2 linked regions of the Caenorhabditis elegans genome follow. The protein of the gene in region 2 interacts with the protein of the main gene of each other region in a pairwise test. Each region holds a gene or a part of one and is shown on either strand. Other genes may lie near its edges.

Region 1 (3,755 bases), on a different chromosome or scaffold from region 2:
CAATGAAAATTTAAATTTATTTGTGCGCGCATTTGAAAAAACTCATTCGGACGCAAATAATATTCACGAATTTAAGCTGAAATATAATATCAGGGAAATTTTTTTGTTTTTTTTTCATACAGATATTCTGAATCAGAGGAATTTTTTTTAGTTATTTGAAAATATTTCCTAGATTTCGGAAATCAAAACAGCAGCTTTTGTACAACAGCTTTTTTTTAAATGTAAAACTTGTTTAAAAGTCAAACCACGTCCATTTTAAAAATTAATTTTTTAACTTATAAAATAAAAACATGTGGAATGCTTTTGCATGTACATTTATACAAGTTTTTTGAGAAAAATACATTTAAATTTGAAAAATGTGTTTACTAAAATTCTGATCAATTTTTTTGTTATTATATATTAATAGCTGAACTTTACTTTAAGACAAAAATTCCTCTAATTAAAATCTACCTTCAAACCATTTTTTCAGTTTTTGCAAATTCTCCTCGGAAATCGCAGTAGGACTGGGAGCTAGATCATTGAGTGGCGAGAGAAAATCACGGAAATTTTTCAGGCGATTTTTCAGGCCCCATGTTGCCTCCCATCCGTATTTTGGTTTCATGAGAGATTGGAGATCATGAAATAAATGCAAAAAAGCATCCAGCGAGGTGGTGATCTTTTTCAGTGATTCTCGCTGTAGTTGAAGATGTGGGAGCTTCTTAAGTAAATTTACAGCTTCTTCTCTATCCTTATAAACTTTAGTGTTCTTCCTTTTCCCGACAATCTCCTCGAAAGCTCTCTGCTCATCCCATCCGCCAATAGATTTTGTTTTGTAGAAACTTGAAATCCTATCAAAATCGATATCCCGATCTAATAGCTGATTCGTCAGATCCGTAGAAGCGATTTCGCCGCTGAGAAGCCCATCGACGATAAGATAGCAGTTAAGGAGCGGTGGTAGTGAGCTCATCCAGTGAATCCACAGGTTTATGGAGTCCTTTCCGTAGACTGAAATTATTTTTAATATTAAAGTAGAAAAAAATTATTATATAAACTAACTATACGCAGGAAAACTCGCATTAAGTTCCAGATTTCGATCGAAGAATTGTGGATGTCCAGCTGGAAATTTTTATTTAAATTTAGTAAATTTAGTGAAGAAATTTAATTTAAAAATACCTGTCAAGCGCTGACCCTTAATCTGCTCCAACATTTGAATACCTTGCCGCTCCCTTTCCGAAATTTCGAGATCTCCGCAGTGTTTACCCGGTAGAAAAACAAGAAGAAAGGGAATTATCGTTATAATCATCGTTATCTGGAAAAAAATTAATTTTCATGGAATATATTTCAAATTTTCGACAACCAAACGCTGAAAATTCACATTTTTTTCAGGAAATTTGGTTGAAAAATCTGTTTTTCATAATATTTTGAGAAAAAAACAAGCGTAAAGGTATTCAAGGCGCATGCAATTCACTTAAGCCAGGGTCTCGAAGCGAACAGAAAACATACGGTATTTGAAAATATTCTTGTTTTCCGCGGAAAGTCGCAGAATTTAATTTGATTTTTTTAACTTAAAAAAACAGAAAATTAACCGTTATACCTTTTGAGCAAAAAATTCTACAAGATAATAATTTAAAACAATTAAAAATTGAATAAACATTGAAAATTAAATGCTTAAATTTCAAGGCGCGTGCATCAAACTTTTGTTTGGGTCTCACACCGAATGTAACAAGTACGGTAAGAGTGCGCGCTTATTTTCATTTTTCGAATTTGTGCGACCAGTTCTCATGTTTTTTAAACGATTTTTGCGGTAATTTTGGCCATTTTTTCTAGTTCCCACCGACAAATTGCATTATTTCCGTATTTTCAACGAAAATTTTGTTAAAAAACCAACAAAAATTTAGAAAATTGCATCATTTTGCAGGGATGAATGGTCAAGCGGATCGCTGCGACCGAACCGCCTACGTTTCGGGTCTTCAGCCGACAATCTCCGACATAGAACTGTTCGAGGTGTTCAATCGTGTCGCTCACGTCGAGAAGGTCATCGTTCGCAATGGAGCCGCCCGTCACGCGCTCATTGTTTTCAAGTTGGCATTTTTTTTCCATTTTTCCTCATCTAAATCTCTAATTTTCCTATTTTCAGAACTGTTCAAGGCCTGTATCAGGTGCTCGTAAACTTTCAAGGAACAACTCTTCACGGCCGTCAGCTGCACATTCGTCCACTGCGAGAAAGTTCGCACGCGAACAGCGAGGCCATCTCAACGATGTTCGAGAAGGTCAAACATCAGGGAAATTCCGGGAATTCTTCGTATCGTCAAGAGCACTCGTTCCCCGAGTACCGAAACCAGAACCCACAGGCTTCATCATACCTTCCACCGAATCCACGTGGTCATCGAAACTCGACGGGCTGTTTCAATGGTGGCGGCGGGGGCTATGGACGCCGACGTTCCGCCGGTGGATACAATCAGTACAATCAGAACAAGTATCCGAACGAAACGTACCCGGGAATGACTCTGTTCGATAATCATCCAGTGCAGCAGTATTCGGGCTTCAATCCCATCGATTTTCGCTTTGATGACTATGTGGAAGGAGCCAAAAGGTGCAAAATTCGCCAAATTTCGCTAAAAAATCTGAAATTTCGCCGACTTTTCCCGTAGCGCAGCAGTTTTTTCTTGATTTAGGCACATTTCAGGCAATTATTTTCGGCAAATCAATATTTTTCCACCATATATGTTCTAGAATGTTTTAGATGTACTAGATTTTATTTTCAGACGAATCAAGTGATTTTCTATATTTTTACACTATTTTTTGTTGAAATATGACCAGAATATGCAACAAAGTGTTCCAGCTGCTGCGAAAAGGAAAAATCGGCGAAATTTCGAATTTCAGTCTATTTTAATCTGTTTAAGCAAAAAGAAAACTAATTTTTAAAATTCAGATTCGACAACCTTGCCAACCTGATTCGCTCGAGCACCCCCACGGATCCGTTCGCTAATTATCAAAAGTATTTTTGAATTATTTTGAAAATCAATAAATTGGTTTTTTTTTCAGACCTTGTGAATCCACAAGCACATCTCGTTCTCGTACGAATTCAGCAAAAGATCAAAAGCATGGCCCGCCAACGTGGAAAATGGAGCTGCAGATTAAGAAAGATGACCACCACCACGCCGGCGGCGGAGCAGCAACCACAGGACAGAAGCTGTCCCCACAACAGTTTTTGGCTCAGATAGCTCAGAGACAACAATCGGAGCAAAACGCGGATGAGGTGGCCAAGAAGAAGCGTCCGAACCTTTCGGTTATCAATCCATCGCTTTTCTATGAGCAATACCCGAGAACATCGTCGCCAGTTGTTTATGCTTCAAAATCTAGTAATATTTTTTGGAGATTTTGGGAAAAAAACAAATTTTCTCGAAAATACGCCCGAAATAGTGTTTCACGCGAAAATTGGCGATATTTCAATTTTTCTGAAAAATTGCTATAATTTTTTCGATTTTCACGTGAAATTGCAAGTTTTTGGATATTTTTCTCGAAAAACGTCAATTCATCGATTTACGCAGCTAGTATACTCAGCAATTGACCATTTTTTTGCAGACAATTTGGTATTTTTTACTTAAAATTCTTGATTTTCGACTTCTCGTGTGCTAATCACTTTTTCAAATGCGCGCCCGAAGAATTTCTCATTGGAGCGTGCTTGCTTCGTGTAGATTTACGAGAGCTTTCCATTTATTTAACTTCTTTCGTGCTTTTTCAGTTTTCCAGCGAGTTTCTGGCTCGACCCCTCG
Region 2 (3,755 bases):
AAATTTGTGGATCTAGTTTTTGAAAAAAGTTCAAAAATGTGCCATTTTTGTCGAATTTTAGTGGTTTTCGGAGCTAAAATAGAAAAATTCAATAGGAACTTGTGACGGTGGGTATGAATTTTTTGCACACAATTTGATTAAAGTAGTCTACTGAGTAATCTGGTGAAATTTCAGAAAATTTGTGGATCTAGTTTTTGAAAAAAGTTCAAAAATGTGCCATTTTTGTCGAATTTTCCTAATAATTGCCTAATAAATCGAATTTCCACTTTTATTTAGGAAAATAATCGTTGTTATATGTGATTTATCCATTTTAAAAACAATTTTGTATATATTTTTGCAGTTTTATCCATTATAATGTCTCATTCATCGAATTTCAATGATATTAAAAATTTAAATTCAAATTTCGCGCGCTTTGCAGCGGCCATGGCCTAGGATTCTCACTTTTCACTTTTCGCTAGGCCAGATGTCCCAATTTACACGCCGTGACACACAGTCTATATTGTAAAAATACAAACCTTACTACATATTCAGAAAATACGAATCCATTACTTGCTCTTTGAACTATTTCAAAACAAATATCATTTCCCTCCATGTTCTCAAAAATGATATGTCGATAATGAACGCTGTTGATAGTTTTTTCCAGTCGGCATATGTAAGGGTGCTGTAGATTTTGGCATATTCTAATTTCCTCGTCGATTTCTGAAAAAGAGATGGTTTGGAATGAAATAATTATATTTAGATCGGATTCGGTAAAATGATCAAAGTTCGAAATGACACATGATGGCTGATAGATTGATTGATGAATTGGGATTGGAGCTGCTGAGCTCATGAGATGAGAACTTTGAGGACATTTTGTGCGCTTCTGATTGGAAAACTGGTGGCGAGAATAATAATATCCGCTGCGGGGACTTTTTTTTTCTCAATTTTTAAAAGTGCACTCAGGTTGTTTTTTGAGAAATTTTTTATTCTTCAAAATCCACAATAAAGGTCAAAACATAACTTTAAAAAAAAAGTGTATTAACCACCTGAATTTGTTCAATTCGAAAAAAAACATCAAAAACTAATAATTCAGTCTTTTGTGAGACAGTGTGTTGAAACGATGACTTCCTGTTTTTAAAATGTTGAAACTTTTCTTTAACGGTCTCAATGGTATTTGGATGAAAACCAATGAAATTGGATATTTTTATTCTAATTAACTTTTTTTTAACTGCATTTGAGCCTCCTTTCGAAAGATATTAGTTCATCACTAGATCGATTAACATTACAAAAACCTATCAATTTTTGTAAAGACAAAAAACCAAAATTAAAAAAAGACTTTATCAAAATGGGAGAAAACTATTTTTGATACTTGTATAGTAGAGCAACTACAGCTACTACAAAAGTACACTGCTTCAACTTTTGAATTGAACAAATCATTTTAGTAGGTGCGTAGAATTTTTTTGGAATACGACTACTACATGTAGTCGTACCCCATGTAACAACTGTATAACAATAATTGTACCTTCAAATCCTAACCCGGTGTGCTGTCTGAACAAATTCAAATTGATTGATCTCAGTAAAAATTTTCGATTTGATGGTCCATGAAGTATTCGGTATACATTTGAAAATGGACCTCTGGAAATTCTTAGTTATTTCAAGAATTAACTGAATTTTCAAAAATCTTACTGTTCTATCACATCCCGGATCGACAGTTGTTCATCGAGGAGAAGGTTCGACTCGTCCGGGTCAAGCTCCCTCATTCTGTTTTAGCTGAAAAATGCTGATAAACGTGAATAAACAAATGATAAAGTTGAAGAAAAAAAAGAGATAACCAGAAAAAAACTCATAGGGACAGTGAATGATTATTAAATTGAAAAAGCATATCAGGCTCGCATGAATATTGAAATAGAGAGACTGGAGAGAAAATGGCAGTTTTTTGGGTCGGCGGCGGGGGGGGGGGGGGGGGCTCTACGCGTTTTCTTTCGGCCAATTTGATTTGATCGTTAGGAGGAGATATAATGTCAATAAATGATTGCAAGAGAGATTCATGTTTTATCAACCCCGCAACATTCTTTCGAGAACTAAAAAATTGAGGATTTGAGGTGGTACTTGTCTGATGGAAAATCTCATGTTGCGGTCTTATAAAAAGAGGTAAGCATTACGTCATTAATTTTAATGAACTTGAGTGCGTGGGGGACGGAAATCGTTAAACTTAGGATTTTTTCTTGTTTATAACATAATATTTTCTGCAAAATGCAAAATCAAACCATCCAATCTTAAATTATTGAAGCAGAACAACTATGTGAAAGAAAGTTTGATTGCGGCATGGCAGAGGAAATCAAGACAAATATGGACACTTTTCATCTTTTCCACCTCTAGTTTCCTATTGAAACGCGGCTGTATTTGTCATTTAGCAAACATTCCTGAATTTGCCGGAATAGTATCGTGTTTATTCAAAGTTGGCGGGTTAGCCAGATGTATTTGTAACAAAAACAGTAAACAGATTTGAAATCTTTTCAAAACACTAAACTTTAAGTTTGAGAGATGCTGAAAAAAAATTATTTGATATGAAAATCGTAATGTAATGTAATAGAAGCAATTACGTGCATGGGTTTTACTACGATCAATTACATAGAGAAACCTACATTTTGATTTTCCTACGTTCTCAAATGACTTGGGATCTAATTCTAATGCTCAAAACAATAACTCCTTTAAGGCTAACAAAGCCATTTTTTAAAGTTTTTTTTTTCAAACAATTTCGGTTTGCATCTTTTTCTGCATACTCTTTTTATTTCCGTTTCATACGTCTACTTAAAACTTTTTGAAAAATTCATTTCCATTTGGTGCAATAACTTCAACCAAAAAGTGTAACTATTCAAAAAATAATCGAGATTTATTTCAAGGAAATAACATTGAGCACAATAATTTCATAAAACTACCATTTTGTGCAGAGCTATACCAAAAACATGCTGAAAATATGTTTACTGTTAAGGTTACTACTAGTCTCAAATTTTTGACATATATATATATACTTTTATAATTTTTTTTTAGTTTGTCAGTTTATTTTAATCTGTATACACTAAACTCTTACACAATTTAAGTATTTCGCATTTTGTCACTACATATATTCCAGTTCACATTGAAGTTATTTGGAAGTTATTGCTTCTGAAATGCCCAATATATGTATACTCTGATTATACCATGGTTATTTTTTGTTTTTAATGGAACTTTTAAATTACTTATAAACTTTTATGTAATGGTTTTTACGTTTTTGTTTCAAAAACAATTTTAAATTGAAAAAAAAACTGAGTAGACAAAATTGAAACACCAACTATACATCCCAGTCTTAAACAACTATCAAAAACCGCGAAATATTAGCTTTGTGAAAAATTGGGATGCAAAAATGTTCAATTATTAGTCTCTCCATCGAATATTCAACAAATAAGGTGTTAGCAAAATAATGGGAAATAAGAAGAAAAAACAAATTTAATTAAAGAAGAAGACATAAATAACTACATAAAAAGGAAGGGATGAAGGAAAGATATTACATTTTTCTTTTTTTTTTCTTGGATTTGTAAGATATGACAAAATCTCAAAGCAGAAAGAAAAAACGAATAAATATGAAAAAAAAGAAAATATGAAGTTTTTTTTGACACCGGAAAAAAACTGGATGAAAGAGGCTCGACAAAGAGTAGAAAGTGGATGTTATCTCTCCCAGTCTCCAGAGATACACAGTTTTATGAGTGTCGGTTGGGTGAGTTTGCAAGATAAACACG

What was found. The genes of interacting proteins can lie anywhere in the genome.
Region 1: the proteins of lin-2 (region 2) and rnp-8 interact in a two-hybrid assay, tested with the Caenorhabditis elegans proteins (3 studies listed by BioGRID).

What each region holds. Positions count from the first base shown.
Region 1 is NC_003279.8:362,620-366,374, forward strand, and holds the start of rnp-8 (RRM domain-containing protein), read left to right. Parts: upstream 1-1,890; 5' UTR 1,891-1,899; coding exon 1,900-2,060; intron 2,061-2,116; coding exon 2,117-2,572; intron 2,573-2,911; coding exon 2,912-2,977; exon of another isoform or gene 2,978-3,024; coding exon 3,025-3,341; intron 3,342-3,755.
Region 2 is NC_003284.9:12,412,287-12,416,041, forward strand, and holds the start of lin-2 (Protein lin-2), read right to left. Parts: upstream 1,756-3,755; 5' UTR 1,740-1,755; coding exon 1,666-1,739; intron 1,615-1,665; coding exon 1,502-1,614; intron 700-1,501; coding exon 516-699; intron 1-515. UniProt on the Caenorhabditis elegans protein: May play a structural role in the induction of the vulva. May be required for the localization of signal transduction molecules (such as let-23 receptor) to either the basal membrane domain or the cell junctions.